Linked DNA regions of Saccharomyces cerevisiae S288C. Changing the gene in region 2 together with the main gene of any one other region gives a genetic interaction. Each region holds a gene or a part of one and is shown on either strand. Other genes may lie near its edges. The genes, in order: SMY1, RGD3 and RHO3.

Region 1 (12,218 bases), on a different chromosome or scaffold from region 2:
AAAATATGTGAAGTTGCTGCAAGACAGAAATGGATATAAGGAGAAATCAAAGGAAAAGAAGCAAGATCCAGCGTTTTCTTTTGAACCCTGGAGGATGCTGATGCATTCTCTATTTATTTGGTATCAAATTGTCGTACAGATGATTTATATATGTTAATATTGTTCAGTTTACACTAATTTTAATTTACCGTATTTACTATCCAAAGGAGAAAAAAAGAAGTATATGGACTTCAGTATTTATACAATATCGAGTTAAGATAAGTTAAGTAACAAAAAAAACTGGATAGAGTGGTTTTCTATTAGTGTGACGGAAGATAAAAACAGCCCTCTCGAGGAAGGGTGAATGCATACTTCGAAGGGAATCTAATTTTGTTTACTGGTTTTCTTATAAGATGGCAATTCGGTGTACTTGTGATTTTTCATGTTTTTGAATTTCTTCATCTCCGAGAACTTACCCAAAACACGGCGTTTCTTGTTTAAAGCTTTTCTAGTAACATCTGTGAAATCTCTGTTTTTCCCGTTGACATATAAGAAAAAGTACATGAAGACGAAAAATACCACCACGACAGTAGGGATAGATAATGCAACATAATACCACTGATCATTTGTTATACCTGCATCGTCTAAAGCCAGTTGCTCCTTAGTAGGCTTAAACACTTTTGAACCCTTAGTGATGTATAATAAAATACCGTATTGTAGTGGATCGAAATCTTCATCTGATATGTATATTGGCTGAACTGATACAACGATCCTACGATCAAATTGGTCCTGCAGCCATTCATCTCTGACCTCAACCGGCATTAGACCGTTGTCATTATCAATCCATTCGGAAGAGAAAAAAGTTGCAGGGATATCTCTTTTATAATTGCCCTTCTCTACGGGGTTTTCTTTAACATAGGACAAATGAACACGAACCTTATCAGCAACTTTACCGGAATTCTCATCTGTAAAAAATCTTGTATACCAAGTAACGAAGTAAGTCTTGTCAACCTTCCATCTAGAATTCTCATAAGGGGTACAAAATGGCTCACTGCGGATATCCTTTGCTAGACCTTTATTGAAGTAAAGATTAGGAGTACATCTGACAATAGGATTCAGGGAGACGTAGGTGTCATCTTCATCAATATACTCTTCTTCTACAAAAACTTCATTAGGGCCCATATTGTGAGCCTTCAATTCTTCATAAGAATATGTGTGGGAACTTACCGTTTTGAAGTAAGTTGAGTAATCAGGTCTTCCCTTCTTGGTTCGACCTTTGTTGATTTCTGGTTTAATGGTTTTTGGCCTACCATCATGCTCTAAAGATACCCAAGGTTTCAATGGATTTGGTGTTTCTTCTGGTTTTTCAGAAAAAGTGACACCGGCAATGACCGTAGGAGTGACTAATTCTTTTTGACTTCCATAAACCGTACGTAACCAAGGTTTAACTTCTTCTGAAGTAGTCATTTTCTCCTTTGGACGAACGACTTGTCTTGCACCATGAACATGTTGATAAAGCGATGCCAAAGAAAAGAAGATAAGTATACTATCGTGAAATCTCATTATTCCGCAATTCCTTCAGATCCCGCAGAACTGCTTCCGACTATATTGTCTTAACCTTTTTGCTAAAATATTTTGTTCTTCAAAAGTAAAGAATAGCTTGCTGAGAGAAATGCGTCGAATTGCCTTTCTTATTTTTTTCATGATCTTTTATTCCTTTTCAAAATGTCAACGGCAAAATAATATAATTTCGCCCTTTTCCCGAGATAATTTCACAAAAAAAGCCAACGAACAATTCGAAAGGCGTTTAACATGAATATACATATATACCTGTGTATATTCATAAGATATTGAGAAATGAATCCATGAAACTCATACTGCAGTAGTTGTTACGATTTATAATGCTCTATAAATTACATTAAATGCCTTTATATACAATAAAAATGCGCTAAGAGTAGGTGACTTATTTTGAATCAGAAACTTTTTGCTTTGCTACAGCGGCTGCATTAGTGACAACTTCTTGTAACCATGAAAGTTCAATCCTACTAACATTTCTGGCATATCCCTTCGTAGTAAAGACATACTCCGTGTACATTATACCGGGGCAGCTTTTATTCATAAATAGCATAGATGATGGATGAATGCTTATCGGCTCTCCAGTGGAAACAGTTCTATAAGACCTGTCTGGCATCCCTATAGCTGTATTCTTGATAAACCCAGTTAAGAAACACTTTAAAATTTTCGAAATTAGCTCGCCATCTTCACCAATCTTTTTGGATTCTTCATCCTCTTCACTGATTGAAGAAAACAAACGCTTACAATAAACTCTTAACTGGTCTCTGACACGAATTACATTTTTAAACCCACGTATCGAAATACACAATCCTTTACACCAATCATTTCTTTCAGAGCTTGCATCTTGACTTTTCCCTAGTTCGTAGAAATAGATATCAAAAAGCTCTTTCAGCATGATAAGGTCACCATACCTTTTACCAGCGTTGCATAAGGACAAACGACGCTCGTTCACCTCATCTCTTTCTTCTGGTGACGGATTCAACAGTAAATTTTCCACACTAAGGCAAGAGACGATATCAATGACCTGACTCAAACATCCGACTTCACTGGCTTTAATTAAGACACTACTTAAATGCGGTTGTAGCGGTAACAGAGCCATTTGTTGACCCCGTTTAGTTATCTTTCCACGAGTGTCAAGAGCACCCAATTCATAAAGTTCCTGAAGCCCCATTACTATAGCTTCCTTTCCAGGGTTCTCAAACCAGGTCCAGTTTAGCAGGTCATCAACACCATATCTCTTCAACATTAACACAGGAGATGTGACGTCACTTCTGGCTATTTCAGGTTCACTTTGTTTAGGTAATTTCACATAATCAGACTCACAATAAAGCCTGAAACTCTTTCCTTCACTTTCTCTACCAGCACGACCACTTCTCTGCATCGCACTTGCCTGAGAAATGGGTACGGTAAGTAGAGTGGCTAATCCCAGCTGATGTCTCCAAACTTTGACTTTTCGAAGACCAGAATCAACGACAAATTTAACACCGGATATGGTAACAGATGTTTCTGCAATATTGGTACTAAAGACGACTTTTCTCTTGAAACCCTTTATCGGAGCGAAGACCAAGGACTGTTGGACCGCGGGAAGAGCTGCATATAAAGGATAAGGAACTATTAATGGTACTGGGGCCTCATCTGAAACATACTTTGCAATTTTCTCCATTATAGTCACTGCTTTGTCAATCTCTTCTTGGCCCGGTAAAAAACATAAGATATCTCCCAGTTCTTCACCTTGGTTTATTTGTATACAACACCTGATGACAGCGTCTACTATATCATCTGTTGGCGCCTTCAAGTAGTATTGTTTGACATCAAATTTTCTTCCTTCTACAAATAAGATTGGGGCATTATTGAAGAACTCACTAAATTTTTCGGCTTGCAATGTTGCAGACATAACAATTATTCTCAAATCAGGTCTTGGCCCTTGTATCAAGGATTTTAAGAACCCCAATATCAAATCTGTAAGCACAGTTCTTTCATGCGCTTCATCGATAACGATGACGCTGTATTCTCTAAGGTCACTATTCATCATAAGTTCTCTAAGTAACATACCGTCAGTCAGATACTTAAGTCTTGTTCTTGTAGTAGTCGTATTGTCAAATCTGACAGAATAACCTACTTGTTCACCCAGTTTGCAACCATGTTCTTGAGCAACACGTGTAGCCAAATTGATGGCCGCAACACGACGGGGTTGAGTTACAGCAATCGACCCATGCTTCTTCGTATCATATAATTTTTCTAATACGAATTGCGGAATTTGTGTTGATTTACCAGAACCTGTTTCACCAATAAGGACGGTAACGGGATTGCTTTCAATATATGACATTATTTCTCGCTTGTGTTGGTAAACGGGAAGTGTTTCTCTCATTTTGAGTAAATCGCTTGCCCGACTTTTCAAAGATTTATAAGTAAGGACATTTTCCTTGTTCGAACGTTGGTCTGAAACATGGTCGCCCTCGCCTGAATCATTAAACTTTACGATTTTACTAGCTCTTTTAATCCGAGTGTTATTCGTGAATGGATGTATATTCCTCCTAACCTTTTGTTTTTTAGAAGTATGGTTTGATGCAACTCTACTATTGCTATTTGCTGCCATGATAATGTCTGCAGACTCTTGCAACCTCTTCTTGAGGAATTCTTACATATATATCATAACCTCATCTCATCTCATCGAGCAGAATTTTTTATTTTCAATTTTTCTCATTTTTCCAAATCATTGTAAACGAATAGCCGCCGAAGAAAAACGGTAGAAGAAAAGTACATCTTTCAGTCAGCATTATACGTACAAATTATTAGCGTTATCATCATGATTATAATTACAAAGATACTACACAGTTGTATCGTACAATTATCGAACTTAATTATAGTCAGCTTCCAGAAGAGGGACTTTTTGGAGTACTCGAAGTGACTTTTATCGAATGGAGGTTTAATCCCTTCTTGAACGGTCTTGCCACAAAAGACTCCTGTGATCCAGTGGTTGCTATACTGCTAGAAGAAACCTTTCTCGCGCCCCATACTAAAGGTTTTGAGGAAGTATTGGCTGACCAAGGGCTATTTGATATTTCAGAACCCTCCTCGATATGCAACATAGTATTTCCTGATGACGAGCTCATAGACCCTCTTCTAGGAGATGGGATTGCAGATTTATTAAGAGAAAGCTCTTTGACAGAACTTTCCAAAGATTTTATCCTTTCACTGCGTGTTTCAGTAAGTTTAGTGTGAGTTTCTAGTTCACCCTTTAAGATGGCGTTAGTAGTTAAAAGCTCTTGAATCTCTCTTTCCTGAAGCTGAATTTGTTCTAGTAGCCTAACGTTCATAGACTCTAAGGCTTCCTCTTTTGACTTTTTGTATTCTAACTCTTGCTGCAACTTAGAATTGGAATTCATCTGTCGATCAAAAGATAACTCAAGCTGAGCAATCTGTTCGCATCTTTTCGTTAATATTTCAGAAACTTCTTCGTCAATACGATTGTTAGGATCTTCATTGGTAGAACTACTCAATAATTGGGTAATACTGTCTAATTGAAGCTTTAGTTTGATATTTTCTTTCTTTGTATTTTCTAACATTTTTTTCTCGTCGTCTTCGGGAAGAGATTTATTGTGAAGGCTTTTTAAAGAGTCTATTTCAGCCTTTAGTATATTAATTTGGGCAACATAATTATCATCCTTAATTTTCATGTCCTGAATAAATAGATCCATTTTTTTTTTCAGATTTAAACCTGTGGTGTTATCTGTAACCTTGTTATTGATCTGTCTAATACTGTCACCAAATTCTAGTGTTGATAGGGTAGTTGGAACATTACTTAAGAAACATGTCAATATCACCTTTGTTTTCCTATTTCCCCCAAGGGAATCTTTTAACACTTCAGTTAATTGCGATTCACGGTAAGCAGAACTATGTGATCCTTTTGCGCTGTAGGCTGAATCACGCTCTTTCATTGACAAGGACCGCACAGTGTTTTTCAACGCCTCAATAGATTGGTTTAATTTTTTTAACGCATCTTGTGATAGCGTACTTTCAGTTCTTTTATCGAACTTCTCTGCCCCGTGTAAATCAACCAGATATAAAGAACTATTTTTTAATATATCATCTTTTCTATTCCTTTGTTCTACGTGTAATTGAAAAACTAGGTGTGATCTTGATCTCTCTGTCTTGTCGCCACATGCCATCCTATTGCCGACGTTTTGGACTGCCTGAATGTAGCTTCTTAAGTCTTCATACGATCCGACATGTGCCGGACAAATATCTTTGATTTCTAAGTCCATTTTGCTTGAAGAACGGTGAAGCTTTAATGGTTTTCTTTCAGGTAAAGGTACCAATAAGTCATACGTTTTCTCCATATATATTTCGAATGCCAAAACACTTACGCTAAAACTATCTCCCTTTGTTTCTTCATTTTTTTCTAGCGTATCAAACAAGGTCTTGCATATGTTCGGTAGAATTCCTTCGCTTTCTTTTGATCCAATAAGGGAATAGGACTTTCCGCTGAAACTTGGTCCATATGTTATTACAGTACCGTTATAACCATTCAAAACATCATTTATTATTGGATGCACCAGAAATTTCTGAACATCTTCTTGAGTGGCGTTAGCATCGAATACCTTATCGAATTGAAATGTTGAATGGGTCTCCTTGGTTGTCTCATGTAACGGATTGTTTGTGCGAAATAGCACAGTATTTTCATATGGGTCTATTTTGAAGGTCGACTCATTGTTTTGTAATCCTTTTTCGGGTATCGCCCTGAGGATAACTTCGATGTGACAGGGTTCACTGCTGTCTAGAGTTGGTAACGATACAGAAGAGCTACTTTGCTCTTTCGAAATTATATTCCAGTGCATTTTAACAAGTTTGCACCTACCCTGAATGATAATTTTTTCTGGTTTAAAGTCGACCTGTAGTGCTTAATAAACCCCCTACTAGTGCTAAATCCTGTAGATTTCCGTGCCAATTTTTCTATTTTTATTTTTCTTTTTTTGATTTTTTTTTTTTTTTAATTTCCATTTTTTTAACTTCCACCTCTTTCCTTGTTAACCATAAATAAGGAAGGATTGGAACTCAACGACAAAATTGAAAAATGTCTAATCGTTCATCAAAAGCATATTTTATCGGATTATGTTCCATTACTATTCAAACATTCACAATCACAGTGTATTATCTCTATGAATAAAAAAGTTGAAAATTCTAAAAAAAAAACAGAAATATATATTAATCTAAGTTAGTATTATAAATCGATTATAAATTGATTATATACATCACAAATGGTTCATACTCTGTGTCGACAAGAGAAGCATATTGGTGAAGAGAAGTATCTTGCTTGTTAATTTTCCCTTTTTTATCCTTCATGAAGGCATTGCCACCAAGAAATCCAAAAGCATCAATTAATTCAGACTTGCATTTAGAGAGATTCTTTGGTGGGACAGCTATAATCTTGATGTTAAAGTGAGGTGGCAACCCGTAACGCAAAACAGATTCCACGTAAACTCTCAAGGCCTTGATGTGGAACCAATTTATAAAAACATCGACATAAGCTGTCTTGGCCAATCTTACCAACTGGACGCGCAAAGATTGTTCTAAACTGGCAGCAGAGTCATGCTCTTTTTTCAACTGGTCAATTAATTCCTCCGAGTAGTTAAATTCACGAGGAATGAATTTCTTCTCTCTAGCAGCTGTTGTGAATTCTTGAACGTTTTTCTTGAACAAATGAACATTGAACAAAACATACTCAGCATCCTCTGCAATCACGCTGGCAGATGCTGGTACAACGTTCTTGGATAAAGTTTCGTACGATTTTTCGAAATCGGATTTTAAACTTTTGGGAACTGCTACTAGAACAGTAGTTAAATGTTCAGAATTAAGAACGAAGTCTTCGGGCTTGACAATATCATGCAAGGATCTGACAGAAAGGTCACCCGTCTTCTTTCTCTCAGCAGCAGCCAAGTTAGTTTTAGCGCTGTTGTAATTTGCATAAGTAGCTCTGACGTCGGCGTCTAATTGAGAAGATTCATTAGAAATCAATGTTATCAAATCTTTGATAGACTTATCTAACTTGAACTTTCTGGTTTGCCATTGAAAATTTTCCAAGTATTCAGGAACTGGCATATTATTGATAGGTAAAGTCCTGTAAGCATTGGTGCTGGTCTCGTTGAGGCCTTGAAGAATTTCAATGATTTTGCCAATAGAAGCCCCAATTTGGTTATCTACTTTAGACAGTTCTTCCGATTCAACTATCAATGTGTCTAAAGAGCCAATTTTGAATTCGGGAATTTTGAAATCAGAAACAAATGCCCTACCCCCGATTAAGGTCTCATTGAACCATGAATCAGTTTTGGAGCCAGGGGCGGTAACAGGTTGAGCATTTTGAGGCAACGAGATTAATATGAAATCGTTTGCAGTATATAACGCAGTAGCCATTTTTTTTTTTCAGAAAAAAGAATTGATCTAGAATTAGGTAAGAAAACAAACTCTAGCAACTGCAACTTCTATATACCTCCTTTGTTTGTGTTTCTAAAGCACTGTGACAAATCCTGCTTGAAAGCACATGATATCACCAGACGTGTTGCACTATCTTCAGTTCTATCCTAAATTGTTTTCCAGTCTTAAGATAAAATTCATTCCAGTTCGGGTAACATACACCGTTTATGACTGACGCTTCTCTTTACGGAAAATTGTTTTTTTCGCTATTGTTGCAAAAGTACAATGGAAAATGCCCCACTGAAACATGAAATAAGAAGAGAAGAATCAAGTTTATGCAAAATATTGTTAGAGTAACCGCAGCAGATTGTGATACTCAATTAGAGAGATTATTACAATATATATATATATAATGATTACATGGACGTTAATCGTTACATAGAATTAAACCACGCGTAAGTATGGGGTAATCATGAAGTAGACTTCAGGGTTTTTTTCTTTTTTCTTTTGAAAATTCGTTTTGTTTGACTCTTATGTATATTGGGAAGAAAATATGGAAGAAGAGTTATTGAGATTATTTCAAAACCTTACCGTCAACAATTTCCTTATCTTCGCCATTGACAACAACAGGCTTATCCCAAGCCCACATGTTGTTGACAAATTCTTTGTCTTCTTCCTTGGTTGGGTCCAACTTGGTGTATTCGTAAGATTCCCAGTCTGGAGCGACATCAAAGGCTGGAGCGAAATCTTGGCCTCTGACCATAACGGCACCAACAATACCATTATTGTTGTTTTCACCATAGACAACTAAACAACCGAACATGTACTTAGTAGAAGCGGACAATCTGTTGAAAAAACCACCGACCAAGTTGTTGGACATGAAAGTCAAGGTAAGTTCGTCGTTGTATTTGTAACCAACCTTCCAGATGGAGTATTCTTCAGGGTTGTAGTGTTCCCAGAACCATGGCAAAGCAACTGGTCTGGTGTCGTCGTTGGAGTACTTTCTCTTCCAGTCATCCAAGACAAATGTGGACTTTCCTAAAGCTTCCAATGGGTGCTTTGGCTTTTTAGCTGGAGCAGCATCATCTGCTGGCTTAGCTTCGTCCTTCTTCTTTTCAGCCTTTGACTTTTCGGCCTTTGGCTTTTCAGCCTTTTGCTTCTTTGGTGGAGTGTAGGTTAGAGCCTTTTCAGCCAATTTGACTTCAGCAAATGGAGTCTTCACGATTGGAGAAGCAGCAACAGTGTTGAACCATCTCATCAAATGAGGATGCTTAGCTCTCCATTCAGGGCCCAAAATAGTGGCCAAACCAAAAGCCCAAGAACCAGCGGCATGAAGGTCACCTAGAGAAATGTTTTCGGTAGCAACAAAGGTGTAGTCTCTCAATCTAGCATCGAAGACAGCAGCTAGGTTGTCGATTTTAACAAAACAAGCATCAACGTCTTTCTTGTTGTATGGAATCAAACCTTTGAAAGAAAGGAATGGACGAGCAATGTTGCTCATGACATCGGAATTAGCTAGAGATGCCCATCTAAGGATTTGAGACTTTTCGATAACGTCGGAACCTAATAAGCGAGCTCTTTCTTTTTCATCGGCAACTTGATTAGCCACTAAATATACATCATCTCGATGGTTATACAACCATTAATTGAAGAAATGTTAGTAAAACAATCCTTTATATTTTTTCCTGGATTAGGACACGCTTTGTACTTCCTTTTTGTTATTTTGACTTTCATTTTTCTTTAAGAAACATATCAGAAATACAAATATCAACATATGAGAGGTTACCTATTATTACCCATTCAGACAGGGATAACTGTTTGATAAAATTTTTTTTCATCATTATGTTTCGAAGAAAAATGACGTGCCAAATAAACGAACGGGAAACGCGCAAAACAATGTATGTGGAAGTGTTAAAATAAAATATGGAACATACAATAAAATTGGATAGCCAAAGCTTCAGTTAGCTTTAAGCCCTTTGGACCCAAAAATGCAGGGGCTTGCTTCAATGGGAACAAAGAAGCAAACTCGCTAGATTGTTCTAGATCAACGATCTTGACATCTAGTTTAAAGTAAGAAATCAAAGCTTCAGAAGCGTAGTTTCTTGGAGATCTATTAATGTATAAAGTACCTTGGGACATCTTGAATCTATCGAGGGCCAAAATCAAAGAATTGAGTTGGTATTAAGGATGGACACCAGTTTTGAACAAAATTAACGACGGAATGGATGAATTAAATATGAAAAAGAAAGTATTGCAAACTGTTGATGAAAAAAATTTTTCTTTCAATTTTGTCAGCAGCAGAGCGCATTACCCTGCCGGCCACATGCCGAATTAAATTAAATGAGGGCTGCTATTGCCAAATGTGATGGCTTGCCTACAGAGGTTAATTTCCCTTGTTTTGGGCTTCCTCTCTCAACACGATTGACACAAGCAATAGAGGCAAAGGTGTGTAATGAGTTCGTGTACCAATTAAAGTAAAGTAGAGTGGTTTAATTGGGATTACACGATTAAAAAGTTTCACCCAGACACCAAATTGAAAATTTTTTAAAATGAATTCTTTTTATTCTCATCTCCGGTAAAGAAAAGAGGAAAGTACAATAAAAGAGATGAGATGACCAAGAGATGAATAACAAGTGAGGACTGAGACGTTGTTGCAAGTGATAAAGAAAGTCCGGGAATTGAAAGATATAGGAGACTGAGATGAGTAATTCACTTGAGGAGCGCCTTCGTGCTAATTCAAGCGCCTTCGATGGTTTATTGGCTTTAATTCCTGCAAAATACTATTATGATGAAAAAAGTCAAGAGCAATGGAAGGCCAAGAAGAAAACCAAAGAACAGAGTAAAAATGATAAACTGAAAAAATTAGACCCGGAGCAACGTGATGATGAAACATCTAGTACATTAGAAGTAATGAAGAAGAAGGAGAAAGACGCAAAGCCGGTGGTCCTACCTGGTGAAAAATTCAAGCACATGAAAATGCAAAAGCAAAAGGAAGCAACATCAAAAGTGGAAGGAGACTCCGACCTGAACGTAGAAGTAAACGATCCTATGATAATAGCACCAGACGAAGATGAAGAAGAGGAAGAGGATATTAAGGTGATCTTTGATGATGAGGGAAATGAAATACCATTAGAATCTAAAAAAGATACTACAGAGCCCGATAGATCTGTCGAAAAGAAGTCTATTACAGAGGAAGAGAAACTACAAAGAAAGAAAAACTTGGAAGCACTACGTTCCAAGTTACAAGCGAAAATTTCAGATATGAAGAGTAAAAGGAAAGCACCCGGTTCTAGAGAGGCTATTCTTGCTCAAAGGAAACGCAAGGAAGAGTTGAAAAAAAGAAAGCGTCTAGAAAGTGAACAGGAACAGGATCAGGATGAAATTGCGTCTGATTCCGATATGGAAGACATCGATAGTGATTTAGAAAACAATTCGAAAAAAAGATTCAAAAAAGGCAAGAAGGACTCAGAAATTAACGCAGATGGTGTAATGTTTCAAAATATCATATTCGATGATGGTGCAAGGGCCACTTCAGATTTACAAAGGTTAAGAAAAGCTGGTAGAACGAAGGGTCCGGCTAAGAATGATGTAAAATCACACTTAAAGTTATTAGAAGCCAAGAAGAATAAGATGGAGGCGAAAGACGAACTAGAACAAATCAAGCAGAAGGAAAAGGAAAAATGGCAAAAGGCTATGTTACAAGCAGAAGGAATTAAGATTAGGGATGACGAAAAACTACTTCGCAAAGCTATAAAGAGAAAGGAAGCACAAAAGAGAAAGTCTGCGATTGAATGGAGCGAACGTAAGAGGGTTGTGGAAGACACGATATCTGAAAGACAAAAGAGAAGAGAAGAGAATCTGAGGATTAGGAAAGACAACAAGGGTAAAAAGAGAAATAAGCAAGAAAAGATGAAAAGAAAGTATGTCGGTAGTGCCGTACCAAAGAAAAGAGCCGGATTTGAGGGTAGATTAAAAACAGGTAAAAAGAAGGGAGGACCTAAATAATAATCACGATAATAATAACAACAATAATAGATATATATATATGTATGAACATATATATACAGATACATATATATATATATATATCTATATATATACCATCGCATTTTTTCCTTAACGAGAAGAGCACAGCAGAGCTTAAGATGGCATGCATTTATAGAACAACACTCAACACATAGCGGGGGGAGGGTTCTGGAAATACAAATGGTAGTGCAATTTACAGCCTGGATTAAAGGGGGATCTGCAATTGG
Region 2 (8,029 bases):
AGCATACAAAGCTTGTTCCAAATCATCGACAAATTGTTCTCTGTCCTTGACGGCGTCTTTTGGAACTTCTGGGCCTGGTAAGACCTTGGAGGCTCTAATTCTCTCGTTCTTCAAAGCAGATAGACAACGGGCAAAGACAGCTTCACCAATCAAAGTAACTGGCATACCCAAATCCAAGGCGTTGATGGCAGTCCACTTACCAGTACCCTTTTGACCAGCAGTATCCATGATTTTTTCAACTAATGGCTTACCGTCGACGTCGTCGAATTTCAAAATATCTCTGGTAATTTCGACCAAGAAGGAATCCAAGACACCATTGTTCCATTTGGCAAAAACGTCACTGATTTCCTTATCGGTAAACCCACCCAATCTCTTCATGATGTCATAAGCTTCACAAATCAATTGCATATCACCGTATTCAATACCGTTGTGAACCATCTTGACGTAGTGACCAGCACCGGCTGGGCCAACCCATTCGCAACATGGTTCACCGTCGGATTTAGCAGAGATGGATTGGAAGATGTTCTTAATATGTGGCCAAGCTTCTTCAGAACCACCTGGCATCAAAGATGGACCGTAACGGGCACCTTCCTCACCACCGGAGACACCAGAACCAACGAAAAGAATACCCTTCTTCTTCAATTCTTCGTAACGTCTATTAGAATCTGGGAAGTGAGAGTTACCACCATCGATGATAATATCACCCTTTTCCAAAAGTGGGACGATTTGGTTGATCAAAGCGTCAACTGGAGCACCAGCTTTAACCAAAAGCATGACCTTTCTAGGTCTCTTCAATTTGGAGATGAAATCTTCAATGGAAGTAGCACCGATGATAGATTTGCCCTTAGCTTCATTGGCCAAGAAATGGTCGACCTTGGATTGAGTTCTGTTGTAAGCACAAACAGTGAAACCGTGGTCAGCAGCGTTCAAGATCAAATTTTGACCCATGACGGCCAAACCAATCAAACCGAAATCAGCAGACATTTTATTGTAGTTTTTGTATAGAAAGTGGCTTTTTTCTGTAATGGCAACAATACAGGTTTATATGTATCAGGCTATTTACTTTATTATGTAAGAAAGGACCCCACTAAGAAAAAAGGAAACCTTTGAAAAAGAAACAAGCTCAGGAACAATACTGCAGCTTTTAACGAACATCAGGCCCATTTATATAATACAGCCTCGAAGCCCACCAAGGCCAAAGCGCAAGGCCGCGTGGACCACCAGGACGAAGCACCGCGTAACACCGAGGCACCGTAATGTAACACCGACAGCCACAATAGGTACAAAAGCAGCACAACCTCGAGGCGGGACGAAAGAACAGAGAGGTAGCAGGTGATTTACGTAGTTACTATGTAGCATGCATGGAGTTATGTAGAAGGGACATCGTTGACGTTGATGGGAAGGAATAAACCACTCTTACGTTTAGGTCTCTCTGGGGTTGTCGGAGTAGAACTAGTCTTGAATGGCCGAGGTATGAAATGGCCATCCTTGTCGTTTGGCGGTGGCTTAGGGGTAGAGTGTATAGGTGCCGTTGTATCCTTTATAATTATCGTCGGCGGTTCAGTGAGTGTCGCAGTAGTTGCCGTCGTGATCCTGTTTGCGATCAACGTTTGCAAAGTTTCTACAGTTCTTTCGTTGATGAAAAATGTAGATAATGTTGGTGACAAGATTTTGATGTCGATAGGGTTCTGTAAGCCTGTTCTTCTTACGAAGTGATGGGCCAATGGTATGTCTATGTCACTGTTGTCTCTAAACAAATCTTGTATTGTTTGCGGCGGAAGTGAGTATTTGCTATTGATCAATTGAAAATGGTTTGCTAGTTCTTGTAGAAACCTTAAGGAGCTCGTCGGAAACTGTTCACATAGGGATGTTAGCGATTTTTCGGCCTTAATTAAGTCATCGTAGTGGTTTGAAGGTATTAGGCTGTCGGGTAGCTCTAACAGCCATAATTTTATCAGTCCGACGAGATCATTAGTGACATAGCTGTGCGAGTTTTCAAAAAAATGAGCAGTGATTATAGAGTTTGTATTTTCGGTAGTTTTCGATCCTTTGAATTCCCCCAATAAGTCTCTTTTCAAATTAGAAACCCTTACAAAATCAATATCCCTGTGCCAACTTTGTATGACTTTATTAGCATTTGGTTCCTTTTCAATCTGCCGCAGTATAATCTTTATTGCCCCTAACGTATCAAGAGCAGCCAGTTCATTATTTATTTCACTACCACAGAAAAACTTTTCGCTTTTTATGGAGATTTCTTTGCAAGCGTCGACTGGATCACTCGCTTCTAGGATATTCCACCTGCGAAAGGGTATGCCATTATCCCTGAGGAAAAACCCTCTTACATCCGCATTGGCAGTTTCCTGTGGCAGTTGTGCTTCTTGTAGAGAACACACAGGTGAGTCAGTAAATTTTTCACATTTTTGTTGAAACATCATGTTTGATGATTCTAGAGCTCGTTTGATTCCGTCCTCCATTTTAGAGTAATTTTTACAATAATCATAAATGGTTTTTTCCAACTGCACTTTAGAATATTCCAACTGGCAACACTTGGAGAAAAAAATATCTTGTGATGATTCAAGTTGCTGTTTTAAACTCTTCCACTCATTTTTATTCATATCTGTACTTCCCGCTGCATCGCAATCATCATTATCATGTTGACTAACTTTGCGGATCCAATCGGATATAGATGTTTTGATAGATGAAACGTTGGACTTTTCTTCGTGTTCATTGTCGGAGTGTGTTAACTCACCATACGATTTTTTTTTTCTGTTTCCAGCATTACCATTACTCTCTTGCGTAGCAAGGACTTCACTGTTCCAGTAATAGTATTTTTCCTGGTCAAACTGAGAAACTTTGCTAGAGTAAAAACTCAGGGAATATTCTTGTATTATACCCAGTTGGATGAATTCGTTACCTATCCTATCGATATTAAATAAGGACAGGTTTAGTCTGGGTTCAAGTTTTTTCAATTCTTTGATCAATGACCTGCCTTGGAAACTTTGATTTGACAATCCTGGAACGGAAAAGACACTTTTCTCCAGGATGACTTTTCCCTTCAAGGTTTGCAAAAATGACATAAATTGGTCGCAATCCTCAAATTTTAACCTCTCGTCTAAAGTGTAAGGAAACTCGCATACGAAGTTCAACCTGGTTAACGGTGCACTATCCTTTCCATTATCAAAAACAGAGGAAGAATTTTCCACTGGCGTATTGGCTTTTTTCAATTTATATATAGACTGAACTCTTTTCTCACATCCAATTAGTGCCTCTTTAGCTGCGACTAAATCCTTAATGTAAGCTGAATAACGAGATGACAAATCGTTTTCTGCCTCACGAAGGAAGCTCTCATTAAGATCTCTTAGTTCTTGCAATGGAATTTTACAATCTCTTTCAACTTGCTCTGTTGATATTATATTAAACTGTTTGCTCATCACTTCCAGCAGCCTGCTATTCATTGAATTGGTTGCTTCCATTTTTTGTAAATTGTTCAATGTTGGTTTCCAAAATTTGTTGACAAAATCATTGTAAAATTTGATGTCTTTAATCAGCAAATCATTTTCTCTCTTCATATGTTTTATGAATAATTTGATACCTGTTGTATAGTCTTTGGTCCAATATGTGTTCCTTAGTGAAATTTTAACTGAGTCGCAATCAATGGAGAGTTGCCTCGAATTCTGTAATTCATCACCAATAATATCTTCTTCGTTATGCTCTTTAACAGACATAACTAGAGACCGAAAGAAAATGCTCTCTTTCTCTTGCCTTTGTCTATGTAATGACAATACTTAATCTACTGGGCCTGACTGGTTTTTTGTTTACTAGTTGCTCTAAAAAATGCAAACGTCAATAAAAAAGAAAAATATGGAAAAGAAAATATACTTTCCCGTATTAACTTGGGTAAAATATAGTAGTATTGTATTGGTGATTTTTCTTTCCTGTGCAAAATAGTTGGCAGAGCATTACACATATTTCTTATTTAGAATATTCAAATAAAGAAAAACTAACTACATGTTAAAAAAAAAGGCAATCCTAAACAGCCAATCTATCAAAGTCAGGTTCTATCTCATAACCGAATACACGGGCTAGAGAGTAGATGTACTTCCTTACCGAGTTGATGACTACACGAGCTAACCCAACAGCCCTTTTACGAAATTTTGGCTGGTTGTTCGTTGTGATGTCATCATTTTTCTTAGCCATATGTTGCTCACTAGTCGTTGGTAGCACATAATCACCAGCTGACAGAGAAACAAATAAGGCAAATGGTATGAACCAAACGCATATACCAAAAAATGAGGCTACTTCAGCGAAACTAGCACGTCTGCGTGGTATATAATTTGGATCAAATTTGAACTGTGGGGGAACTTCCGTATCATTAAAATATTTGAACCAGAAGTAGTGATTCAAGACCACACATACGCAGCTTAATAGGAAAGTTGGGCTGGTTAACGAAATAAATGGGAAACTTTTTAAGTTTTGGTAATATACTATGTAACATGCAATGGAAAAAAGTGTAAGTTTGAACGGGAAACCGTCTAGTAACAGTAGCAGAATTAATATTAATATTATACCATAAATAGCCCTTGTGAGAAACCGTCTTGTGGGTTCTGTGTGTTCTTCAACAAGTTCACTAATGTAGTATAAACCCGATGCAATTGAAAGTGTTAAAAAAAGAAACCCTGAAACGGTTCCTGCATAAGAAATCAATTCTAACAGCATGGTTTTATTCTAACAATTTCTTTTCTCCCTTTTGCTCTTTTTCTCACTTGTCAACTATATGTTTTTAGTTTTAATTTTCACATTGACCATTCAACCTTTAAAAAATCATAAAGTTATAAATGATAGAGAAATAAGAACAAAGGGAAAAAAAATAATACCGGTATAATGCCACCTGCCAGAATTGAACTAGCGACCTTTGCATTACAAGTGCAACGCTCTACCACTAAGCTAAGGAGGCTAAAAATACAACTATGTTGTATCTCAAAATAAGATACGTCAGTATGACAATACGTCATCCCAAACGTTCATAAAACACACATAACAAACGAATAGAATGAGTAACATAACTGTTGGAATGCGAGAATGAGATATTTGTGAATTTTGAGATAATTTGTGGGAATCCATTGTTCACAAAGACAATAATATTAGGTATATAGAATATGCTAGAAGTTCTCCTAGAGGATATAGGAATCCTCAAAATGGAATCGATATTTCTACATGATAATATTAGGATTATTCCTCATTCCGTTTTATATGTTTCATTATCCCATTACATTATCAATCCTTGCACTTCAGCGTCCATTAAGTTCGATGACTGTGTCCCAATCCTATGTCATCTTCTTACACCGCATGTAATAATATAATAGTAATATGACTACTATAAATAGATGACATTTTAGAGTTTCATGTCTTCATAAATGTTTGGCAGGAAGTTTGAAAAGATGGAACGTGCTGCTGCTGATGTAAGGGTCTGAATAAAACCGGATGTCTTGGCAATCCTAATGTCGCTAGGATAGTTGCTTGTCTTTCCAACAAAAGATATAATTCACAAATATTTCTCTGTGCTCCGCATATATTTGGCTTGATGTTTTAAATAGTTTGTGAGTAGTAATTCAATACAAATACTATCAAGCTTTAAGATTCATTATTTCACCAAAATAATCAGTTTTTGTTTTATATGAGGTTGAGTGTCTCAGCTAACTTATGATAAGCTATCTTTAACATGACAAACGGGATGTGATATTTGTTGTCTTGGCTCCAGATCAGCAGTTGTACTAATCTTGCTTACACTGAGCGTGTTCTATGCATTATCTTTAACACTCTTGTACGTCTTGTTTACCATACTTTGCCATATCCTTGTTCTTAAGAAAGGAATTTTGATCTAACATCTCTGAAATCGTGGCACCGTCTAGTAAAATATTAGACACTACTAACGTTACTAAGGAATAAGGTACAACAATTAAAGTCGCTAGTTCGTGAGATTAAAATCTGTTACATATTCTTAGATTGAGAGTTAACGCTGCATATTTCTCTTTGGTGATGAATTAGTCATAAATTGCATTTGCGTCACTCATTATTGTGCTTCTGTGTGAGAGTATTTTAGGAATTTATATATATATATATATATATATATATATATATATAGTATACTGGCTCCCGAGCCAGATGAGGGGGTATGAGGTTTCGACGCTTAAGGTATTATCTGAATCACAGTCGCATACACTAGTTGACCCTCAGTACAGAGATTCCCACGATTAACGGGCTGAACGGGTCCTGACTAATGTAGTTTTGAGTTCACCTGTTGGTGCAGTATTGTTATCGGCACTGGCACTGGTACTGGCACGGGTGTTTGGAAAAACTCTGTAGCATTCAATGGAGAGATTACTACATGAGTGGCGATCCAACGCGAGACATAATCTGTATTAGCTTCATAACCATACTCTGTCAGTAAGGAGCCATAGTCGACATCTGTAACATTCCTAGTAGTGCCAACTGTACCCGGCATGATATTATCTCTGACATCCCCAAAATACACAGCTGTACCATTTATTAAGTGGTAGATTGAGGGAGAGTCTATTCCACCAAGATAGAATCCGTTTCTTTCGAGAAAAATGACTTCATTAAAATTAAGTCCTGCTGGAATGTTAGTGAAGAATCTCAAAGGATTAGTAAGATCAACATCAGGGAGGGAACTATTGTTGATCGAGGTAGCAGCTAGGTTGAAGAATGTAGCAATAAATGCAACGAGGGTTATCCAGTGCATTTCCATTGGGCACGTTAAATAAGTTGAATATATAATAGTAATTTTAGAGGTTTGATGCAAGTTTGGTAGGAGATTTTATGCCTATAATATATATATTCGACCTCAATGTTCAGATAGTAGTTTTACTGCTTGAATATAGTGTGCGCCTGTACGTTTCGATTGGTTGAATTAAACATGTTCTATATTATAGCAAATTTGAAACTCCGCTGCATGTTTGATGAACGAATTGTGCCCGTTATATATATATATATTAAATCTTACTATTTAATTCCTGGGGTCTTATTTTTTACCTGCATTTAACATTTGAGCAACCATCGGGTCGCATATTCACTTTATGACCGAGGCGACCTCAATGCAACCGCAGGCGAAGATGTACGGTCAGAACCTTTCAGAATGTTATTAGGGCATTTTGTGTGGACAGTGACAAACCAGCTTCTCTAGGTACCCAATAGCGTTTTTACTGGGTATCCTGTTCTTTTTCGGGTAGTCCTTATTCTAGATCTTATTCCAAAAGCTTTCAAGACAAATCAATAAAAGAGCCTATTTGAATGTGCAATACCTTCACACCAGTTTTAGCGTGCCAAAAATCCTTCGTTCATTGAGAACTGAAGCCAGTTTAATTGCAATGGCCCTAATATAAATCTAAGGCCAACAAATACTTGGTCACAGAATGCAAGATATGTAACGATTTTTATAACAGTTTAACAGGAGAGGATAAGGACGAACATAAACGGTAGCACAGCCGTTAAGGGGATATCCTTTCAATTTCTACCCAGCACAAACTTTACGTGTTCTCAATCCACGTCTGCAGTAGAAACTGTCGCACATATAGTAACATAAATTTATATCGTAGTATATTGGAAGAAAGTGGGCGTGGGTGCGAGCGTATACTTTGGAATTTTGACATCGCATTTAATATTGTACCTAAACTCATTTCTACCACCATATGGTCACACTCTCAGATTCATATCAACTTCCTACATTATGCTACTAATCAATATAAAACGCAGGGATATAAACTCTGCACACTTCAATCTGTTGTGATAAAAATAAACTACCATATAGTGACTAGTAGTCATGTTACTACTATATTATTACACGCGGTGTAAGAAGATGACATAGGATTGGGACACAGTCGTCGAAATTAATGGAAGCTGAAATGCAACGATTGATAATGTAATAGGATGATGAATGACAGCATATAAAAGGAAAGAAGGTAAATTAATATTCATGATGTAGAATGACCGATTCCATTTTGTGGATTTACAT
Region 3 (11,011 bases), on a different chromosome or scaffold from region 2:
AAAATCATTGCATTTGGATAATCCAGATTACGAAACATTGGAACTGCCCACGCAACTAAATCTACTGGCGCCCTTCAAGATTTTGAAAGCTTATGAAATTTGTATACTTATGCTAGTCGCTGGATTACAATTTGCCATGTATACTACGCACCTTACGGCGTTATCCACAGCTTTGAGTAAACAATATCACTTGACTGTTGCAAAGGTAGGATTATGCTACCTTCCCTCCGGTATCTGCACATTATGTAGTATTGTCATTGCTGGAAGATATTTGAATTGGAATTACAGGCGCAGATTAAAATATTACCAAAATTGGTTGGGCAAGAAGAGATCAAAGCTTTTAGAAGAACACGACAACGACCTTAATTTGGTGCAACGTATCATAGAAAATGATCCCAAATACACCTTTAATATCTTCAAGGCGAGGTTGCAACCCGCATTTGTTACCTTGCTTTTAAGCAGTAGCGGATTTTGTGCGTACGGATGGTGCATTACTGTCAAAGCCCCTTTAGCGGCCGTTCTTTGCATGAGTGGATTTGCGTCGCTGTTTTCCAATTGCATTTTGACTTTTTCAACAACTCTAATAGTTGATCTTTTTCCCACGAAGACATCTACGGCTACGGGATGTTTAAACCTTTTCAGATGCATTCTATCTGCTGTGTTTATAGCTGCATTGAGTAAAATGGTAGAAAAAATGAAATTCGGAGGTGTTTTTACATTTTTGGGGGCTTTAACCTCCTCGTCATCGATCCTCTTATTTATTCTCTTGAGAAAAGGTAAAGAATTAGCCTTTAAGAGGAAAAAGCAAGAACTGGGAGTAAATTAAGAAGTAAAGCTTCTTGAATCAAAGGAAAATGTTCCTTTTGATCGCTCCACTACCGAGAAAGAGGAATTGGTGTGATAAGTCTTCTCAAATAGAAAGTAATAGTAAGTATTTTTTTTTTTTTAATCTGAACTCTGTAATAACTAAAATTAGAGTTAGCAGCACGATTCACTAACATAGAACGGCTAGTACTGAGTTTTGCCTTTATTATTCTCCGCCATTTTTTGCCAAGGCCGAAAATATGCTGGAGGTGCGAAATTCGGAGATTCGGGTTTCATGTTTCTGGCCCGGTTGTTAACGGACCCTTTATCTCATCTTCTGATCTTGGAGTTTCTTCTAGTTGATAAAACCATGGTGAAGCTGAAAGGTTTGAAGAATCTCTATCACTGTAGCAAAAAAATCTTCTTACAACAAAAAAAGTAAGCAAGCAATCAGCGTTCAAAGGAACTTATTCTTGCTTAAAAAAAGTGATAATCTCTTAGCACTACCATCTTCTATTAATAAAAAAATAACAGATAGCTCATGAAGAGACTTCTATAAGTAAATCATGACCAAACAACAAACTTCTGTAATGCGTAACGCATCTATAGCCAAGGAAGAACGTGAAGGATCTGATAATAATAATGTGGACAGATCCAGCTCAGATGCCATCAGTGACAACGACGCAGAAAGATCTAATTCTCATTCTGAAATAGATAACGAATCAAATTTTGATATGGTGCCTTATTCAAGGTTCAGCCATAAGCAAAAAATGCTTCTTGTCGTTCAGTGTGCCTTCACAGGCTTTTTTTCAACCGTGGCAGGGTCTATCTACTATCCAGTGCTTACTATTATTGAGAGGAAATTTAACATCACAGAAGAGTTAGCTAATGTCACTATTGTGGTTTATTTTATTTTCCAAGGGGTGGCTCCTTCAATTATGGGTGGTTTAGCTGATACATTTGGAAGGCGGCCTATTGTATTATGGGCAATCTTAGCCTACTTCTGTGCCTGCATCGGACTGGCATGTGCACATAATTACGCCCAAATCCTGGCTTTAAGGTGTTTACAGGCAGCAGGTATTTCTCCTGTTATTGCAATAAATAGCGGAATAATGGGAGATGTAACGACAAAAGTAGAGAGGGGTGGATATGTTGGATTGGTTGCAGGGTTCCAAGTTGTTGGAACTGCATTCGGTGCATTGATTGGTGCCGGATTATCCTCGAAATGGGGTTGGAGGGCAATTTTTTGGTTTTTGGCTATTGGTTCCGGAATTTGTCTAGTTTTTTCAACCTTATTGATGCCAGAGACAAAAAGAACTTTGGTGGGAAACGGCTCCGTAACACCAAGGTCATTTTTGAATAGGTCTTTGATATTGCATGTTGGTTCCGTAAAAAAAACATTACATTTAGACGATCCTGACCCTGAGACCTTAGAACCACGTACTAGCGTGGATTTTTTAGCACCTTTAAAAATTTTGCACATACGAGAAATAGACATTTTATTGTCCATTGCCGGCCTGCAATTTTCCACGTGGACCACTCATCAAACAGCCTTAACAATTGTATTGAGTAAAAAGTACAATCTATCTGTTGCAAAAATAGGCCTGTGCTTTTTACCTGCAGGAATCTCGACACTGACAAGTATTATCTCTGCTGGTCGGTACTTAAATTGGAGCTACAGAACAAGAAAGGTTAAATACAACAGATGGATTAAAGAACAAGAATTACAGCTGATGGAGAAATATAAAGGTGATAAAAACAAGGTAGCAGAACTTATTCACTCTAATTCTCATTATGCATTCAATTTAGTGGAGGCAAGGTTGCATCCAGCATTTGTGACACTTCTTCTCAGTAGCATTGGCTTTACTGCCTTTGGATGGTGTATTTCGGTGAAAACACCGCTTGCTGCTGTATTATGCACAAGTGCATTTGCAAGTTTATTTTCAAACTGTATTTTGACCTTCTCTACTACTTTGATAGTAGATCTCTTTCCGTCTAAGGCTTCTACCGCAACAGGTTGCTTAAATTTATTTAGATGTCTCCTATCCGCAATTTTCATTGCAGCACTGACCAAGATGGTCGAGAAGATGAGATATGGAGGTGTTTTTACGTTTTTGAGTGCTATAACTTCATCTTCATCGCTTTTATTATTCTATCTCCTGAAGAATGGGAAACAACTATCGTTCGATAGGATTAGGGCAAATGATAAGTCGGCTGGAAGGTCAGTTGGTAAAAATTCAGAAAAAGTTTCGACGTGAAGAAAAAAAGTCGTAAAACTAAAAAGTCTCTGCCCCCACTTTCCAGAAACAGATATCTATATTTTATAACAAAGACGTACGGCATCATTTAAAGTATCTAAAATTTCTTTGAAGAGATCACATAAAAAATTTTCACCTTCTTTTTCTCTTTTTGGCTGTCCAAGTAAACAAAACATAAACTGCTTCAACCAAAGATAAAACTTGAGAAAATCCAAAATGAACAATAAGGACATTTCTTGGTGACAGATTCGTTAAGTTTCATTATTTTTTTCACTTATTTTATAGAAAAAAATCGGATGTTGAATGGGCATAAATATAAATGTATATATAAGTAATATTGTCTTGTTTCCCTGGAGAAGTAAATGAAAAATGAAATAGCATACAAAACAGACATAAAATTTAAAACAGAAATGAAATGAGCATTTAAAATTAATTAAAAGGTGAAACGACGAATTGAAAATTATTGATGAGGGTGAAGGGAAACAGGGAATGTGCTAGAATTAAAGGGGTAGAAAATTTATGGTGGAGACTTCCCGATACATACTTTAATGTTGTTGCATAAAATTTTCTGAGTCTGAAGTTGACATATTATGCAACGGTTTATTTTGTTGGTAAAATTTATGGTTTAATTGCTTAACTTCATTTTTTAAGCAGTTTACTTGTTCCTTTAAATTTTCAATAGTGTTAAACATTGTTTGCCACATGTATATGACATCTGTAGAGAAAACTGGGGAAATTTGTTCTTGTTGTGCATCGCGCGGTAGCTGTATAGGCATTGTTTGCTGGAAAAATGGCGATGGTGGAGTTTGCAGGATTAGATTGTCTGCCGGTGCTGATGACAAAAGGGAAAATTGAGCCGGGCTAATGAAGGATGGTTCTCCTTTGGTATCCAAAGCTGGCAAAGATTCTAATTTATCGAGGTTGATACTTGACTGAATATGCTCTGGTGTACTAAAAACATTAGTACTATGATTACTATTCCTATTAATATTATTGCTATTATTATTGTTGCTATTGTTACTATTGTTAATATTATTATTGTTATTGTTACAATTATTATAATAATGGTTATTAATATTATCATTAGTACCATTCTTGTTCGGCTTCAATGTTTTTTGCGACTTGAGTATAATGTTTCCGTTTACAAAACTAAAAGTGTTTTGTAACTGCACTAGCAAATACTGCATTCTAGATAATTTTGACGGATCAAAATTTAAGTTTGAGCCTGCCTCTTGTTTTGATTTTTTTTTCTTTTGCTTGGATTTCTTTGATGGATGCACTTTCAAAGACTTTGTGTATAAGACTTTAAATCTATCATGACATTGACGAGAGTTTCTCTCGTACCCATATTGTTGGAATAGGATTTTTGAAATTTTTTTCCAAAAATTCTTCATAGGCTTGAAATATTCTACGAATGTTAGTAATTGAGAATTATTCATTATTGTAGTAATGAATGCTATATCCTCAGGCTCTTTCCATTTTTTCCTTATCTGTCTTGCAGACGAGGAGGATGAATTAGAGTTGTTTAGCTCATTTTCGTCAATAGAGCCTGAGTTGGAGTTGGAGTTCGAATTAGAATTGGAGTTCGAATTCGAATTTGAACTGGAAATTATTCTTGGAGTAACTAAAGAGCAGTCCGAACCCGTTTCTTCATTAAAATTTGAAGTAATGGGTGTGTTTAAATTTGGTGAATAATCAGGGAAATTTTTGCTTATAGTGCTAGACTCATCCATTAGGTTCAACTTCGGTTGAAGATATTCCAAGTACATTTTATAAATATCAGTAATAAAATGATGAGAAAAAAAAAAAAAGACTTAAAAAAAAGGACTGAGAAATAGTTAAACGAATACGATAATATGATATACTACCATGAACTGTAGTCTGGATAACCAAACGGAAAAAAAGGAAATACAAAAAAAGTCAGATTGTAAGGAAAAAAAAAGAGTAGTTTCAGTATTACGAAAACTATTAGATCTTTCTTTAATTTGAACAAGAAAACAAGACTATAAAAAAAAATACTCTTTAGGATGCAGACATAAAAGAACAATACGACCGTCCCTTATTTATATATAGTCCATAGAAATAATCTCAACCAATATAATATGCAAGAAAATAACGAAGTAAGGAACAAGCACAATGGTACGCCCGGTCTTGAAAAAGTTTAAAACAGTACTCGACCCTAGGCGCTAGGGTGGGTGACGCATTTTAACTTTGCAACAGAATGCCATATGCGGTGTTAACCTCACAAGATCGGCTCTACTATCTGCAAGCTGCGGCAAATACCAGAGAAAATTCCATTCCCGTCGACAAAATTTAACCGACCCCCCCCCCCCCCAATTTACGTTTATCAGCTAATCCAAATGTGGAAGGGCAACATTCTCGACGACTCCTTTTTCCGTAATTTAAGTTTGCCCAGGCAAAATCTTATACTTGTTTTCGTAAGAGAAAGATGCGCAGATCCTTTAAGGTTACCTTCAAGCAAATCCAGAAGCACAAATGGCAGGGGAGAAAAGACATGAAGCAGGAGTAGTCAACCGCAAAAACCCCCGCGGGCTTGTTGTTCTGCACATTTTTGATGTGTTTGTTCCTAAGACAAAGTCCTAACTTAGGGTAGTAAGTGACTATATTCTGCACGCTCTTAAAGCAGCCACCTCGTTTAATTTTGCATGCTTATATAAGCTTATAAACGAAGTACCTGAGGACCTGCATCGGCCGGCCCATGTGAAAAGGAAGTATTTACTTTTTCTTCTTCTTTACTATGGAAATAGCTGGAATCCGACTATGCATATGCGTAAGAAAAGAAAATGAAGGAGTTTTCACAGGAAAGCACACTTGCATACTGGGCACAAGTGAGGAGAGGGGCCTGTAATGCTTCTGTGTTTAAAAGACTCCGAAATTAGTCAACGCAGATTTGCAGATGCACGCAAGAATACATAATCAATCACAGTAAGCACATCTCCCCAAGGAAAGAGTAAATGCCTTCGAGCCAGCATTGTGGTCATGCGAGATGTCTAAGAAAAATACTTCGATAAGCACGAGGAAATGTAATATGTCTATCTACCTTATTTTTTTTACAATAAACATATAATAAATCCCTTATCTGGTCACGTGAATTAAACTTCGGGTGTGTTGTAAGAATGGAAGGAGTAAGCGAAACTCAAATTGAGGCCACTTACCACTTCCGGTCGAGCCCGGCCCAGAACCAGTCGTCGGCCAACTTTTTTCTTGGAACAGCGTTACCGCACCTACGCGAGAAATAGTAGATTATAGATAAGAAATACAAGGAGAGGGGTGTGGATGAGCTTTTTTACAAAATAGTGTAAGGCGTCCGGGAAACCCCAAGAACGTTTTTTGACATCCACTAACAGGATTACCCGTCATAGATATACTGGTGCCATTACCCGTTAATGGCATCTTGTATATTTCTTTTATCTTTCTTAACATTCCTGAAAATTGGTAAACAGTAAAAAGAAAAGAAAAAGAAAGAAAAAACATGTATTATTTTGAATTTACTGGAAAATAGGCAACCATTGATTTTCGTTTTTTTATCGTTCTCATCTCTAGCTCTGGTCAGCATTTTTTACTTTATAACAACAAGTTTTTCATTAAAATCCATAGTAGCACAAGGTAAAGGGAAACAAACATGTCATTTCTATGTGGGTCAGCTTCAACGTCAAATAAACCGATCGAAAGAAAGATCGTTATTTTGGGCGACGGTGCCTGTGGTAAAACTTCGTTGCTGAATGTTTTCACCAGAGGTTATTTTCCCGAAGTTTATGAGCCTACTGTTTTTGAAAACTATATCCATGATATTTTCGTTGACAGTAAACATATCACGCTATCGTTGTGGGATACTGCGGGCCAAGAGGAATTTGACAGGTTACGATCCTTGTCTTATTCAGATACGCAATGTATAATGTTATGTTTCAGTATTGATTCACGCGATTCTTTAGAAAATGTCCAAAATAAATGGGTGGGTGAAATCACTGATCATTGTGAAGGCGTCAAGTTAGTCTTAGTTGCACTAAAGTGTGACTTAAGAAACAATGAAAATGAATCTAACGCAATCACACCGAACAATATCCAACAGGATAACAGCGTTTCTAACGACAACGGAAATAACATAAATAGCACCTCAAACGGCAAAAACCTGATAAGTTATGAAGAAGGTCTAGCTATGGCTAAAAAGATCGGTGCGCTACGTTATTTGGAATGTAGCGCTAAGCTGAATAAAGGTGTCAACGAAGCTTTCACAGAAGCCGCAAGAGTTGCTTTAACCGCGGGCCCAGTAGCAACCGAAGTGAAAAGTGACAGTGGATCCAGCTGTACCATTATGTAATATAATAAGACACGGACGCACACACAAAAGAATAGAACCCAAAAAGAGAGACTAAACAAATAATATAATAAGTTATAGAAGTTAATAATACTCCTACTATTTTATATTTTTTATGTAATTACTACCACTGCTTAAAAAAAATATTGCAAAATATCATAAAAGTTTTTACTCATCCTGTTCTTTCCCCTCCAGCATGTGCTCGAGATAAGTCGAAGGTGTAGGTTTTCTTTTGGACTGTACGACCAACAAATTACCCTTACTATGGTTACGATTTACGCTACCATCACTTTCTGGTGAATTAAGCAGCTTTCGACTTGGTGAAGATGCAATTTTTGCGGGTTTCCTTATGTCTTCACCCACCTCCTTTTCATTACCGTTATCGAGCGACGATGCGGATGATGAAGAGATTGTAGACACCAGAGAATTTGTAGATACATTATCACTTGTCATAATCACAGGTTTCTGTAATAATCTAGGGCTTTCTTGGTAAAGTTTAGATAGCCTTGTTTTGTATAAGATATCACCTGTTGGTGAAATGAAAAGTGAATTTCTGTTGGATTCGGATGCAAGAGAGAATAGCGGCCTTTCGAAATTACTTAAGAATGGTTTTTCATTATTAGTATGAGATACAAGTGCATCTTTCACCGATTCATCCTTATTTCCGGGACTAATATCGGACTCGCTGATATGGACCTGATCTTGGAAATTTTCTTTGGCGGGATAATCCATATATGGGGAATCGCCGTAAAACTGGGTATGTTGTGTGGAAAACATCTTTGATTCGTAGTCCTGAACACTTCTGGTCAACCTATGCGAAGAATAAGTTGTTATTACCCACCATAGCAATATTGCCAAAAAAATCACTCCCGCGATTCCCCCCACTACAATGAAAACTGTTCCATTAGGCATATCCCCGGAATCCAAAATATAAGGATTACCATTTCTAGAGGGAGGAGTAATACTTGGTATAATAGAAGAGGATGTAGAGTTGGACAAAAGTGGTAAAGAAGATGAAGAAGAAGCAACAGATGTTATCGTACTACTTGAACTGGCAGTTGTTGTCGAAGAAGTGGAAGTGGTTAATTTTGGAAGGCCTCTCTTGGCAATGGTGATTACTGTCATTCTTGCGTTTTGAGTGTCAATTTATTCTATTTTCAACGACCTTTTAAAGTAATAATGAGTGCTCTTGACTTAACTCTAATGCTATAACTGTTTCTTTGCACCGATGCGTTCCTTTGAATGATCTCAGGTAATATATTAAATATTTTTCAAATGTCTTTACCACATTCTTCAGTAATACATTTTCTCTCTAATTTTTCATTTTCCATTTTCCATTTTATTTTTAGAACGTGTGACAAAGTTGTTTCAAGAACAATATAGAATTCTTAGCCAAAAAGAGAAAGCAAGAAAATTAAACTTTATTTGTCTAAGAAAAGCCCGAACAGCGAAACCGATCACTTCCCAGGATCGGAAGGTGTCACTTTGCGCCTTTTGCTCCGCCGCTCTTTCGTCGGCGTTCTTTGCTTCCCTGGGCGCTGTCGCATTAAGAATATCATGTATATTCAGGAACAAAGGTAAATCACCTATAGACGTGCGCCGCAATAACCCTGCTAAGAAAATTCATTTAAAAAACTTACCTGCCAGTCTTGTTGTTTACTCAAACCACATACTATGATTATACTTTTGTCAGAGTTATGCGATGCCGCTTAAGCTTTGATTAAGAATTTTTTTCTCTTCTTTAAGTATGCCGTGCACTTTTCGCTTCTCCAAAATATGACCCAATACTCATTTGGTTATTTTTACCAAGTAATCGATCAGATAGCATTAATAGCGTGAATATTTGATGGAATAACATATTAGAAAAGCTTTAGCTGGCAATTCTTGTACTGTCTTTCGCCGAAACCTGTTTGATGACTACTTCATCAATTTTTTTTTTTTCTGCCGCATTCCAAAGGTCATAACTTTGCAAAAATAAAGGGTAAATGGTTAAAAATTGTTATCATAAATAAGGTGACCGGTTATATTGAGACCTTTCCTGGACAGTAACTAATACAGAAGCCATTGGTAATGCAATAATTTATTTGATCATGTGACTACGATCCGGGTGAGACTATTCAAAAAAGGAGTCAAGCATTGAAATAATTAATGACTAATCCGAAGTTAATTGTTAGGAGTCAATTGTTTTTTCCAATGAATGGAATCTGAGATGACTAAACTACCAATTTTCAATAGTTCATGGTATAGTGACGTAGTTAGTGCTTTTTTTTCTTGGATCTGTTGACTCACTTCAATTGATGTTTCTTACCCTGACATGACATACTTGATATTTTATCTCTCACGTTATATAACTTGAAAAGGATGCACACAGTTCTGTTCAATATACCCTCCAATATGTAAAAACAGTTTTTCCATTGATTACTCTTAATTTGTTTCCTGCTAAACCAGCAGTACGTGTGTGCCGTATATATTAAAATTACACTATGGTTTTTGATTTGAAAAGAATTGTTAGACCAAAAATTTATAACTTGGAACCTTATCGCTGTGCAAGAGATGATTTCACCGAGGGTATATTGCTAGACGCCAATGAAAATGCCCATGGACCTACTCCAGTTGAATTGAGCAAGACCAATTTACATCGTTACCCGGATCCTCACCAATTGGAATTCAAGACCGCAATGACGAAATACAGGAACAAAACAAGCAGTTATGCCAATGACCCAGAGGTAAAACCTTTAACTGCTGACAATCTGTGCCTAGGTGTGGGATCTGATGAGAGTATTGATGCTATTATTAGAGCATGCTGTGTTCCCGGGAAAGAAAAGATTCTGGTTCTTCCACCAACATATTCTATGTACTCTGTTTGTGCAAACATTAATGATATAGAAGTCGTCCAATGTCCTTTAACTGTTTCCGACGGTTCTTTTCAAATGGATACCGAAGCTGTATTAACCATTTTGAAAAACGACTCGCTAATTAAGTTGATGTTCGTTACTTCACCAGGTAATCCAACCGGAGCCAAAATTAAGACCAGTTTAATCGAAAAGGTCTTACAGAATTGGGACAATGGGTTAGTCGTTGTTGATGAAGCTTACGTAGATTTTTGTGGTGGCTCTACAGCTCCACTAGTCACCAAGTATCCTAACTTGGTTACTTTGCAAACTCTATCCAAGTCATTCGGTTTAGCCGGGATTAGGTTGGGTATGACATATGCAACAGCAGAGTTGGCCAGAATTTTAAATGCAATGAAGGCGCCTTATAATATTTCCTCCCTAGCCTCTGAATATGCACTAAAAGCTGTTCAAGACAGTAATCTAAAGAAGATGGAAGCCACTTCGAAAATAATCAATGAAGAGAAAATGCGCCTCTTAAAGGAATTAACTGCTTTGGATTACGTTGATGACCAATATGTTGGTGGATTAGATGCTAATTTTCTTTTAATACGGATCAACGGGGGTGACAATGTCTTGGCAAAGAAGTTATATTACCAATTGGCTACTCAATCTGGGGTTGTCGTCAGATTTAGAGGTAACGAATTAGGCTGTTCCGGATGTTTGAGAATTACCGTTGGAACCCATGAGGAGAACACACATTTGATAAAGTACTTCAAGGA

What was found.
Region 1: of RGD3 (region 2) and SMY1, a mutation in one rescues a mutant of the other (synthetic rescue), as found in Saccharomyces cerevisiae (one study listed by BioGRID).
Region 3: of RGD3 (region 2) and RHO3, changing one suppresses a phenotype caused by changing the other (phenotypic suppression), as found in Saccharomyces cerevisiae (one study listed by BioGRID).

The regions. Positions count from the first base shown.
Region 1 is NC_001143.9:280,777-292,994, reverse strand, and holds SMY1 (Smy1p), read right to left. Parts: upstream 6,393-12,218; coding exon 4,422-6,392; downstream 1-4,421. Other genes in the region: AAN1 (Aan1p), read left to right, coding at 1-39; PSG1 (Psg1p), read right to left, coding at 364-1,542; DHR2 (RNA helicase), read right to left, coding at 1,943-4,150; VMA5 (H(+)-transporting V1 sector ATPase subunit C), read right to left, coding at 6,787-7,965; TEF4 (translation elongation factor EF1B gamma), read right to left, coding at 8,540-9,573, 9,900-10,104; ribosome biosynthesis protein RRP14, read left to right, coding at 10,666-11,970; HOT13 (Hot13p), read right to left, coding at 12,136-12,218. UniProt on the Saccharomyces cerevisiae protein: Possible microtubule-based motor that can interact or substitute with myosin 2 (MYO2).
Region 2 is NC_001140.6:463,915-471,943, reverse strand, and holds RGD3 (Rgd3p), read right to left. Parts: upstream 3,726-8,029; coding exon 1,368-3,725; downstream 1-1,367. Other genes in the region: phosphogluconate dehydrogenase (decarboxylating) GND1, read right to left, coding at 1-984; SVP26 (Svp26p), read right to left, coding at 4,030-4,716; YHR180W (uncharacterized protein), read right to left, coding at 6,275-6,766. UniProt on the Saccharomyces cerevisiae protein: GTPase activating protein (GAP) for RHO3 and CDC42 that binds membranes through phosphatidylinositol 4,5-bisphosphate. Plays a key role in cell polarity. Modulates the RHO3 distribution at the plasma membrane and its polarity during growth.
Region 3 is NC_001141.2:133,047-144,057, forward strand, and holds RHO3 (Rho family GTPase RHO3), read left to right. Parts: upstream 1-6,705; coding exon 6,706-7,401; downstream 7,402-11,011. Other genes in the region: QDR2 (cation transporter), read left to right, coding at 1-826; QDR1 (multidrug transporter), read left to right, coding at 1,371-3,062; RPI1 (Rpi1p), read right to left, coding at 3,608-4,831; pheromone-regulated protein PRM5, read right to left, coding at 7,567-8,523; HIS5 (histidinol-phosphate transaminase), read left to right, coding at 9,882-11,011. UniProt on the Saccharomyces cerevisiae protein: Plays an important role in cell growth. Required to keep the uninucleated state. Modulates morphogenesis during bud growth via directing organization of the actin cytoskeleton and the position of the secretory machinery for exocytosis.